Callithrix jacchus: one gene and its partners. The protein of the gene in region 3 interacts with the protein of the main gene of each other region in a pairwise test. Links are inferred from orthologs where the notes say so. Each region holds a gene or a part of one and is shown on either strand. Other genes may lie near its edges. The genes, in order: THRA, CABP5 and CEP76.

Region 1 (4,075 bases), on a different chromosome or scaffold from region 3:
TGTGTAGCAGGGCCCCACCCTGAGAGCCGTGGGAAGGCTGTGGCCCCCACTGGTAAAACTGGGCTAATGACAGCAGGGGAACCGGCGGGGCCAGGGGCGTGCTGGGGTAATTAGGGCTTGGCCTGGAACTGGGAGATCCCGAGATGAAAGGGGCTCTGGCGTCACTGGGTTGGTTTTATGTCCATGAATTGCAGATGCGTGTGTGTGTGTGTGTTGTGTGTGTGTGTGTTGCGTGTGTGTGTATGTGTGCTGGGGGTGGGGCTGGCACAGTGGAAACCTCTCCTTTGGGTTGGATTAGGGGGTCCATTTGTATGCAGCCCACCGGCTTCCTTAGATTGACTCTGGTACCATTTGGATTTTGGTGGGAGCAAACACGGGGGGAAATACCACCACCCAGGAGCTAGGAATTGAGGGGGTATGGCAAATCTTGTCCCCTCCCCGAGGTGAGGAGAGGGAGCAGATTGTTGGGGAAATGGCTGGTGACAGAGAATAGAAAGAGCCTATATGGAGAAGGGTGATGTTGGAAAGGGGAGGCAGTGGATCGGTATCGATGTTAGAAATGAGAGGGGAGGGAGGTACTGAGCCCACACAAGGATTAAAAACACAGGATGATTGAAGTTAAAAGGACGTCAGGGGTGATCTGCCCAGCCTTCGCGGCTGAAGCTTGAGGAAGCTCTGCCCCGACAGCAGTGGTGGTTTGTCAAGGTCACACAGTGAGTTACTGGCGGAGAAGGGACCCGAACTCCTAAACAAACTCTACACCTGCAAGCGTTTGGTGTTTAGGCTTTCTCCTCATGTGTAAGGTGCAGGCGGCTCCTCGGTACTTTCTTCCCCACCCCATGGTGCAAACCCGAAAACCCCCAATTCTCCCGGCAAGCAAAGGCTATTTTTTAATGACATCTCTTCCAAAATATGTCACCAAGTACCCACTCCTGCGGGAGCCGCCCGGCGGGGGAGGGTGAGTCCGAGCGGGGCGGGGCAGGGGCGGCCGAGGGGCTGCCGGGCCGCTGGCGGGGGTCCCGGGGCGCGGCAGGGGGCGGGGGGCGGGGGCGGGCGGTGGCGAGGCGGCCTGCAGGGAGCAGCCGCGAGCCGGCCGGGCGCGCGGAGCCCGAGCCCCAGCCGGAGCGGGGCGGGGGAGGGAGGAGCCAGAGCGGCCGCCGCCTCTGCCGGAGGAGCCGCGGGGCCGCCACACTCGCCCCCCGCCCCCCCCCCGCGTTCACTCGCACTCACACCCGGGCGCAGGAGGCGGGCGGCCCGGGCCCCACCGGCCCCCCATGGACGCCCACGGCACTGGGCGCTGAGACCCCCGCGTCGCTGCCCAGCCCGGTCCAGCGCGCCACGCCGAGGTAAGGAGGAGGGAGCGAGGGGGCATTAATATGCAAATGCCTCGCGATTGATTATGCAAAGCCGCGGGGCTCCGTGGCCAGCTCCCAGGCGGGCCAGGGTCGCCCAGGGCGTACCCGCTGTCAGCCTCAGCCTTTCCCGGCGCCCCAGTGACCCTGTCACGAGCCCAGGAGCTTGCAGCTGACGCCCTGGGGAAGGGAGGTGTTGCTTGGAGGTCGGTGGGCCCGGGGGTTTGCAGGCGGAGATGGCGTCCGGGCCTCCCCCTCGACGTCCCGCCCGGCCTCTGTCCGGCCAGCCTGCTGCGCATTCCCGGGCCAAGCCCCGTTGCCGGCCGCCGGAGCTCCCCCGCCCGCCGCTCCGCGGTTTGTTTACGGTGCGTCGGAGGCCTGCCCCCCCCAGCCCCCACCCCTAGCCTTTGAGGCCGAGTAGCCTTTGCAAAGCTGCCTCCAGCTGCGGAGGGCAGTATGAGTGCGGTGGCGGGGGTGGGCTTGCATGGGTCCAGGGAGAGGGAAGTTACCCCCCTTCACCCGCCTTCCAGTGGAGCATGGCTGTCTGGTTGCAACACTCTAATTGCAAAAACGCTGCTGCTGGGGGGAATGTGTGTGTGGAGGGGGTGCACTTGATGGTGCCTAGATGATTAGGAGAGTTGCTGGCTGGGGAGGAGAGGGAGAAATGGACCTGTGTGTGTGTACCCCACCTTTTTCCCTCCCCTTGCAACGTGTCTCTGGTTCCCCTTCTCCATCTGGGGCCCTCCCTTGCCCAGCGTGAAAGAAAGGCCTGGGGGGATGACAGGGGCAATTGAAAGAGCCACCGGTCCAGAGGTGGGGGTGGGGGACACAGAAGGAAAGCCAGTGAGATGGGAGCCTGCCCCTCAGTGCTGGCTTCATCTCCAAGAGGGGGAGGGGATGAAGGGGGCTGTTGTCCAAGATGGGGGGAAAGCAAAAGTGACACGCAGACACAGAGATATGTCCACACAGACAGCCACAGGCATACCCAGGGACACCCAGGCGGACTCAAGGACAGGAGCTGCTGGACACACCCACATGGGGACAAGGGAAGAGGCAGGCTGCTGCTGCACCCTGGAGCTCAGGGGGTGGGACATACCCACGGGAGACCAAAAGCATGGAGACCGACCCATGGCACATACCTACGCACAGGGTCACACGGAGAGGCTGTCACACACGGGCAAGGAGGAGTTGCTGTCACCCACACAGAAAAAGTCACTGTCACATGCATGCATGCACACAGAGCAATTGCACACAGCCGCACAATTACAAAAGACCCTGTCACTCACAGGCACACACGTGCTCACATAAGCCCAGTCACACAGTCATCATTGCTTGCCGTGACAGTAGCTGTCACTCAGTCAGATGCAAACACAGTTATACATCAACACATGTATACACAACTTAGCAACAAGTATTTTCCTGGACTCTTACTGTGGAGCTCTGAGGTTCTGTAGACAAGAAAACCCTTGCTCCCAAGAAAATTAAATTTGGCTGTATGAAAAGGTGTTGCTGCGTAATGGTGCAAAGCATGCATTCCCGATGACATGTTTTTGGTCTCTGTTGCTTGACATACCAACCCTACTAGACAGTGAGCTCTTGGAGACCTGGGAGAATCATTTGAAGAGCTCCGGATCGCACCCAGAGCCTAGCACAATGGCTGCTTTGTAACTACTTGTTAGTTGATTGACTGTGGAACCTGCGGACACAGGTGCACTCATTTGCACATGGGCCCCTGAACTCAGGTACAGAATGAGTTCACAGGGCCCAGGTCCACACAAACAGTCGTGTCCACATAATTCCAGATGCACACAACTGTAGCCTGTGCAGCCAAGCACACACCTAGATGCACACAATCACAGACTTTTCCCTTTCAGCTTCTTCCTGCCTTCTTCCTCTAGGCCCAGCCACTCTGTGGGAATGGGCTTTTTTTTTACTTTTATTTTCTTTTGGAGGGTCAGAGAAACAAGAGCAAAGACGGAGGGTGCAGGGGGGTTCCAGAAGGCCGAGTATGGGGCTCAGAGCATGTCCAGGGACTTCTAGAAGCTGGGATTCTCTTGACTTCTGGGTGAGGGGAGAGCTGCACTCATCCCGAAAAGCTCAGGGATATCAAACTGCCCATGCTCTGAGTCATTTGCCCGGGCCTTTCCTGGGAACACTCAGTCACCCCCAGCTGAGTTCCTGCATCCCACCTTGAGTCTGGCCGCCCCTCTTGTCACCTGGACCCTGCTACCCAAACTTGGAAGCTTTCCTTAAGAGGCCATCGGCTGGCGACTGTCTGCATGAGTGATGTGTATTTTTGACTTGGAATTTCTCTCTAACTCTCTCTTTCTGTTGCTCTGTCTTGCAGTGTCTGATTCTCTCTCTCTCTCTCTCTTTCTCTCTCCCCTTCTCTGCCAGTCTGTAACTCTCTCTCATCCTGTCGCTACCCCTGTCTACCCCTGTCCTTGTCTCAGAGCTGGGGACTGGCAGTGATGTTCTTCATACTTTTCCCGTTGTTAATACCCAATCTCCGCCCCTCTGCCCCCCCACCCCCCCACCCGCTACACCAGGCAGCCTCTGGGGTCAGCTTAAGGTTGGTGTGGGGGGCCAGGGGGGTGGGCTCAGCTGGCTGCTCAGGACTTCCTGCACTTCCTTACTGCTGCAGCTGTGGCCAGCAAGTTTTAGGGACTGGGAATGGGGAAAGGGAGGGGGGACAGCCACTGCCCATGCTGCCCCTCGGGCAG
Region 2 (4,370 bases), on a different chromosome or scaffold from region 3:
TACTTTGGGAGGTACTTAAACTGCCACGAGAAAGAGTTCCACAAGATTACAGCTGAGTGGGAAGAGGCAGGGACTGTAAAAATTCCATGTAAAGGAATTTATTCAGAAATGCACAAAGGGACTGAGGGCAGGTCAGGTGGGTGGATGGCAACGTGGGGCAATTGAGGAAGACGGTGTTACCTTCGATCTCATCTTGTCCCAGTGGTCTTTCCTGGAAAGGAATGCAGGTGAGAGGGAATTTAGAGAGAGGGTCACCCATTCCCCAAACGGGTCCCCTTGCTCTCTCAAGCTCCTCCTCACCCTCTCGTGGTTCTCTTCCCACTCTCTTTCTCCTCCTCCATCCCTCCCATTTCTTTTCTCATCTCCTCACTCCTACTCCACAGTTCTTGGCTCCCCACCCCTCTGGATTCCTCGCTCCTATCCACGAATGCTGATCTCCCTCATTCCCCCTTTCATGGGCAAATACCCATCACATTGCATCTTAACACTGCAGAGTCCAATCCCCTCCTTCTCCAGATGAAGAAAGTCAGAGTTCATAACCACAGCTAACTCGTTCAGAGTGCTGACTCCGTGCCAGGCGGTTTCCACGATTGTTTCATTTAAACCTCAGAACTGCTCTGTGATTCGGATCTACGTCTCGTTTCCATCTTACCCACGAGACAGCTGAGGAACAGAGAGGTTAAGGAGCCTGCCCAAGGTCACACAGCTCACAAGCGGCAGATCCCCTCCCAAGGTGGGGAAACATTAAATTACTCCCTGGAGGTCATGGGGCAAGTCAGGCACAACTTTGGGATTAGAATTCAGGGCTCCTGACTCTGAAGTCAGAATTCTTCACACTAATCCCCATTAACTCTTTTCTCACCTGCCTCCAATCTTCCTGCCAAAGGTTACAATCCCTGTGCATGGAACCAGCATTCAATGGCATTCAGGCAGGAGGGTCAGTGCCAGTACGACCAACTCCTAAACACTCTGAGAATTTCCAGTTGCCCCACCTACTCCTGGACATACCTGAAGGGTTGGGCTTAGATAGACATGACATGTTAACAAGGAAATTCTAATGGCCTCTCACCCCCTCATCTCCCTTTATCCCAGAGCCTTTCCCTCAGCTTGTCTTTCATCTCATCCCCTCCCTGCGATCCCTTATTTCTCTTTTTTTCATTTTCTTTTTTTCGTGATCTTAAAGCCTAACAATTAAAACATATCCACATATCTGGACAAGTTGGTGTATATGGAAAAATTTAGAAATTAATTAAATTAAAAAAAATTTTTTTAAGCATGCCCACAGGAATCAAGCAGACCTGACCCTACCATTTACTATTTTTTTTTTTTTTTTGAGACAGAGTCTCACTCTGTTGCCCAGGCTGGAGTGCAGCGGCATGATCAGGGCTCACTACAGCCTCCACTTCCTGGGCTTGAATGATCCCCTTGCCTCAGCCCCCTGACTAGCAGAGACTGCAGATGCATGCCACCAAGCCCAGCTATTTTTTTTGTTTGTTTTGTATTTTAAGTAGAGATGGGATCTCTCTGTGTATCCCAGGCTGGTCTCGAACTCCTGGACTTAAGTGATCCTCCTGCTTCTGCCTCTCAAGGTGCTGGGATTCAGGTATGAGCCTGTACTTGGCCAACCCTGCCACATACTAACTGTGTCAGCTTAAGGCAAAGGACTTCATGACTCGGAGCTTCACTTTCCTCACCTATAAAATGGGAATGAAAGTCACTGACCTCCCGAGTTGTTCTGAGGCATAAATGACATCAAACGTGCAAATCCCTTTGCACAGTGCTGGGCAATAAGCAATGACTTAATAAGTGGCAGCTATTGTTATTAACATCATCATCATCACCATCACCATCACCATCATCACCACCACCATCACCACCACCATTATCACCACCACCATCACCACCACCATCATCACTATAATCACCATCGCCACCACCATCATCATCACCATCATCACATTCATCAACACGATCATCACCATGACCATCATCACTATCACCACCACCATCACCATCATCACCATCAACACCATCATTACTACCATCACCATTATAATCACCATCACCACCACCACCATCACCATCACTACCACCACCATCATCACCACCATTACCACCATCATCACTATAATCACCATCACCACTACCACCAACACCATCATCACCATCACCACCACCATCACCATCAACACCATCACTACCACCATCATTACTACCATCACCATTATAATCACCATCACTACCACCATCACCATCATCACCACCACCATCATCACTATAATCACCATCACCACCACCATCACTACCATCACCATTATAATCATCACCATCACCACCACCATCATCACCATCGTCATCACTGCCGTTATCACAATAAGCATCCATAGAAAAGAATGATGGTAATCTCAACAATGACATCATCTCACTTCCCTGATTGTTTTTCTTCCCTTTCTCTCCTTCTCTTTGCTCCTGACTTCTGATTTTACCCCCACCCATTTATCTCACTGGCTTACATGACCCCATGAGGGTCCTTGGAATTCTTGTACCTTCTCAGTTCCTGCTCTATCCACCTGTTCCCCTGGTTCTGTAGCACCATCATGTCCCCTTCTTTGTCCCACACCTCTGGTCCGCTTGCCCTGCCCACAGCCTTTCCCCTTCACTCCCCACCTCACCCTCTGTTTATCAGCGATGCCTTTCCTCAAGAAGATGCAGGCGGGGCCCATGGGAAACTGCATGGAGGGGTGGGGTGGAGCTCGCAGGGCACCAGTCTCAAGATGCTCCTCCTCCCTGCTCCTTGTTGGAGCTCAGCCTCCTTATCTTCTCTAGCACTCCTTTGCCACCTCTTCCTGCCTCTCCTGGCTTCTCTCTTGGTCCCTGTGTCTTAGAGCTGTGACAGCTGGGCTGAAAATCTCCACCCGGGTTGGGGAGGGATCAGAGCTGTCCCTGCCTCCCCATCTGGCTTGAATGATATGGGTAGGGAGAGCCAAAGTCAGGCTCTGTGACTCCTTTATCCCCAGAGTGGAATTGGAAGGTGCATTTTTAAAATGGGGTTTAGAGGCTGGATGCGCTGCTCATGTCTGTAGTCCCAGGGCTTTGGGAGGCTGAGGTGGGAGGACTGCTTGAGCCCAGGAGTTTGAGACCAGCCTGAGCAACATACAGAGACCTTGTATTTATATATATAAAAAACTAAAATAAAAATTAGCCTTGCATGGTGGCACACACCTGTACTCCCAGCTGTTCCAAAGGCTCAGATAGGAGAATTGCTTGAGCCCAGGAGTTCGAGGCTGCAGTGAGCTATGATTGCATCATTGCACTCCAGCCTGGCTGACAAAGTGAGACTCTGTCTCGAAAGAAAAGAAAAGAAAAGAAAGAAAGAAAGAAAGAAAGAAAGAAAGAAAGAAAGAAAGAGAAAGAGAAAGAAAGAAAGAAAGAAAAAAAGAAAATTGGCTCACTGCAACCTACTTTTTTGTATTTTTAATAGAGACGGGGGTTTCACCATATTGACCAGGCTGTCTCAAACTCCTGACCTAAAGTGATCCGCATGCCTCGGTCTCCCAAAGTGCTGGGATTACAGGCGTGAACCACCGCGAGAGTCTCTGTTTTTTACCATTTCCCTGCACTGCCCCCTGCCGCTCAAAAGAATAAACGCATATGCAGGCAAGAATGAATCAGTTCCCATTTCCCTAGGAGGGGAAACCGAGGTCGAGGAGCTGGGCGGGGAGACCCCAGCATCCTCTGACCTCTTTCCTTACCTCCCTGTCCCCGCCCGCAGGTGAAGCTGGTGTTCGTGGAGGACCAGGCGGTGGTGGAGACGGTGTTCTTCCTGACGTCGCGCACCAGGGCGCTGCTGCGGCGCTTCCCGCGCATGCTGCTGGTGGACCGGCTGCCGGGGCTGCAGGGCGCGCTGGATCTGCTGGCCGTGCTGTGCGTGGACGGCGCGGGCCGTGCGCGCCAGGCTGCCTGTTGCGTGGCGCGCCCGGGCACGCCGAGCCTGCTGCGTTTCGCGCTCGCGTCGCTGCTGCAGAGTGCGCCAGACGTCAAAGGCCGCGTGCGCTGCCTCACCGCCGGGCCGGAGGTGGCGGCACAGCTGCCTGCCGTGCGCCAGCTGCTGCCCTGCGCGCGCGTGCAGATCTGCCGCGCTCAGGGCCTGGAGACGCTCTTCAGCAAGGCGCAGGAGCTGGGCGGCGCTGGCCGCGAGGACCCGGGCCTGTGGTCGCGCCTGTGCCGCCTGGCCGGCGCGTCGTCGCCCGCCGCCTACGACGAGGCGCTGGCCGAGCTGCACACCCACGGCCCGGCCGCCTTCGTCGACTACTTCGAGCGCAACTGGGAGCCCCGACGCGATATGTGGGTCCGCTTCCGCGCCTTCGAGG
Region 3 (3,646 bases):
TTCTACTAAAATTACAAACAGTAGCTGGGCATGGTAGCAGGCACCTGTCCCAGCTACTTGGAAGGCTGAAGCAGAGAATTTCTTGAACCCTGGTGGCAGAGGTTGCAGTGAGACGAGATCACACCACTATACTCTAGCCTGGATGACAAAGTAAGACTCCATCTCAAAAAAAAAAGAAAAAACACTCAATACAATGTAAATGCTATATAAATAGTTTTATACTTGTTCTTTATTTGTATATTTTTTATTATGTTATTTTTTACTATTATTTTTATAAATATTTTTGATCTTCAGTTGGTTGAATCCACAGATACAGAACCCGCAGGTAGAGCGGGCTCACTATATGTACATTTTCCTAAGGCATTCCTTTACAAATGTATTATAAATTTAGAGTAACTATGATATACTGCTATTTAATTCTATTATGTGTGTATAATACCTTGTTTCTACAGAGAAAGGCCAGCAGAGTGCACCACTGCTCCTGTTTACCTCCTCCTCCAATAACAGGGGCTCGTTCATAACCAAGGACATTAACAAATCTTGCTGCTTGCCTTGGAGTATCAAGAAGCCGTCCAGCTCTAAGTGGTTTAACATAGGAACAGACTGGTCTATTTATCCCATTTTCATCCTAGGGAAAAGGGAAAAAATATCGATAATGACATATTAATAATCCCCAATAATATTTTTTTTTCAAATACATTAATGTAGGATAAAATAATTCAGCATACCATTGAGTGCTTACCTTGTATCCAGTATTAGGTTGCAAAGTGCTGTGTATATAATTTCCCTTTAATCATCATAACATCTCTATTATTTTCATTTGACAGATAAAGAAAACTGAGGAGCTACAGCTATTATGCAGCAGAGCCACATTTAAGCCCTGAGCTGTCTGACTCCAAAGGCTGTGGCAATAAGAAGTCCTCTGAGAAATGGGTGGGCAGGTATGTAGGGGAGGGAGAGGTGCTCTAAACTGAAGTATCTTTCATATTCCCATATAGAATCTAACAATTGGCTGCTGTAACAGAAATGATCATAGCTTGAGTCTAGTTTGTTTCCATTAGGGCCTCAAATTTAGAGATCCACAGGAAGCAATAATTTGTTAACCAGGTCAACTAAAAGCAAAATTTCAAAAAACGCTCTAGAAAGTTTATTCTAAATACAGGATGTATCTTAGTGTTGGTGATGAATAACTGGTGTGCATATAAAGGTCTCTGATGACTGTTTACAGTTAGTATTACCAAAGCCCACAATCTGTTTACCTTCATGATTACTGATAAGGCAATGTGAAAGGCCCACTTCAATGTGAAAGGCCCCATCTTCAAGATTTGGAGATGACCCACCCTCTACTCTGATAGGGCTCCTTAGGACATAAGATCTAACTCAGCCAACAGAAACATCATCTGTTTGAATTATCAGAACCACTAATGTCTTTCTCCACAACCAAAACATCTTTTTCCAATATAATCCCATACTTTAGCAAGGAAAAAAAAATCTCACTTATTTACATTTGATCATAGTGAGAAAGATCATGATTTTTTTTTTTTCCAAATTAAGTTTTGCTCTTGTTGCCCATGCTGGAGTGCAATGACTTGATCTCAGCTTATCACAACCTCTGCCTCCCAGGTTCAAGAGATTCTCCTGCCTCAGCCTCCCGAGTAGCTGGGATTACAGTCATGCACTATGATGCTCAGCTTATTTTGTATTTTCAGTAGAGGCAGGGGTTTCTCCATGTTGGTCAGGATGGTCTTGAACTCCCGACAGGTGATCCGCCCACCTCGGCCTCCCAAAATGCTGGGATTACAGGCGTGAGCCACCACACCCAGCAAGATCATGAATTTTTATGTTGCAGAGCAAATTGGCTCTAGATTCCACTCATACCTATAGTGCTCAACTCTAGAAAGCAGCAATTTTTTTTTTTTTTGAGACAGTCTCACTGTTGTCTAGGCTGGAGTACAGTGGCATGATCTCAGCTCACTGCAACCTCTGCCCCTCAGGTTCAAGCAATTCTTGTGCCTCAGCCTCCTGAGTAGCTGGGATTACAGGTGTGAGCCACCACACCTGGCTAATTTTTGTAGCGACGGGGTTTCACTCTGTTGACCAGGCTGGTCTCAAACTCCTGACCTCAAGTGATCCACCTACCTCAACCTCCCAAAATGCTGGGATTACAGGTGTGAGCCACCATGCCTGGCCTAGAAGCACCAATTTTTTAAAACAGAGGATTATTATTTGAATTTGAGGGGGATGTAGAGAACTATGTTTTTCTTTTACATTAATTTAGCATTATTAATAATCTAGTGTTATATGAGAATATTGTCCTGAAATCACAAACCAAATATTAAAAGGATATCCTCAATCCTCAAGTGATTTACAACATTTTCTTAAAACCTAGGAGCCTTAAAGTTCAATTTCTGTAACTTAAAGTTTCTTGCACTAAAAAATTCAAAAGGTGTCATTCAGTGAATTACTATTAAACTATAGCAAAACCAGCTAACAAAGGATAAAAATAATAATGAATTATTAAGTATTATGGCCACAGTGAATCTAGATCTTTGGTTAGGATTGAGGTAATAAACCAGTTCCTGTGTGGGTCTGTTACTCCTATACTTACAAATCCACTAATAGGCAAGAAAAGATGAACACATCAAAACCCTATGCATTTGCCTAAATCAGTCATCAATAGTAGCATTTTAGAATGTAACATGTATCATTGTTTCATTACAGCAATATTCTAATATTATTCTAAATACAACCCCACAAGTTATTTAAGTGTTTTGAAAATTTAATATTTCAACCTCTGAACAGGCACTGTCTGATAAGAAAGTCACTAACCATTATGAGCTATTTAAATTTTAATTAAAATTAAATAAAATGGCTGGGCGCAGTGGCTCAAGCCTGTAATCCCAGCACTTTGGGAGGCCGAGGCGGGTGGATCACAAGGTCAACAGATCAAGACCATCCTGGTCAACATGGTGAAACCCCGTCTCTACTAAAAATACAAAAAATTAGCTGGGCATGGTGGCGCGTGCCTGTAATCCCAGCTACTCAGGAGGCTGAGGCAGGAGAACTGCCTGAACCCAGGAGGCAGAGGTTGTGGTGAGCCAAGATCGCGCCATTGCACTCCAGCCTGGGTAACAAGAGCAAAACTCCATCTTAAAAAAAAAAAAAAAAAAAATTAAATAAAGTTTAAAATTCAATTTTTTTTAGTCATAATAGCCACATTTTGAATGCTCAGTACATGGCTTGTGGCTACAATACTGGTTAGCATAGACACAGAACATTTTCATCGTTGCAAAAAGTTCTTTACTTTTAGTGTTGCCATTCATTAACTTATTTCCTTTTGGGCCTGGATACATTGGAAATTTTTTCAAACCATGTATATTAATGTTTTGGTTTATAACTATGGCTTTTATAATTACATTGACTGCTTTAAACTATCGTTCTTTAACTTCATAACTAGTCAAATATAGGAAGCAGCAGCAAGAAACAGTTCTGGGGAATCTAAAATCAGCATTTTATTTACTGTATGTATATGGAAAAAAGTGACACAAACCAAAAAGGCACCAGTTGAAACTGCAATTTAATATAGACTTTGCCGTGACTGAGTTGCTGTTTGGCCTTGGAAGACTCTTCACTTCTCCAACCTTCA

What was found.
Region 1: the proteins of CEP76 (region 3) and THRA interact in binary tests that used the Homo sapiens proteins (3 or more experiments, as listed by UniProt). The two-hybrid records come from large-scale screens. The link is inferred for Callithrix jacchus from reciprocal best matches to the Homo sapiens genes CEP76 and THRA.
Region 2: the proteins of CEP76 (region 3) and CABP5 interact in binary tests that used the Homo sapiens proteins (3 or more experiments, as listed by UniProt). The link is inferred for Callithrix jacchus from reciprocal best matches to the Homo sapiens genes CEP76 and CABP5.

Annotation. Positions count from the first base shown.
Region 1 is NC_133506.1:71,671,117-71,675,191, forward strand, and holds the start of THRA (thyroid hormone receptor alpha), read left to right. Parts: upstream 1-1,214; 5' UTR 1,215-1,346; intron 1,347-4,075.
Region 2 is NC_133523.1:41,886,190-41,890,559, forward strand, and holds the start of CABP5 (calcium-binding protein 5), read right to left. Parts: upstream 2,882-4,370; 5' UTR 2,736-2,881; coding exon 2,673-2,735; intron 972-2,672; exon of another isoform or gene 926-971; coding exon of another isoform or gene 863-925; intron 212-862; coding exon 181-211; intron 1-180. UniProt on the Homo sapiens protein: Inhibits calcium-dependent inactivation of L-type calcium channel and shifts voltage dependence of activation to more depolarized membrane potentials. Involved in the transmission of light signals.
Region 3 is NC_133514.1:49,812,115-49,815,760, reverse strand, and holds part of CEP76 (centrosomal protein of 76 kDa), read right to left. Parts: intron 942-3,646; exon of another isoform or gene 828-941; intron 629-827; coding exon 440-628; intron 1-439. UniProt on the Homo sapiens protein: Centrosomal protein involved in regulation of centriole duplication. Required to limit centriole duplication to once per cell cycle by preventing centriole reduplication.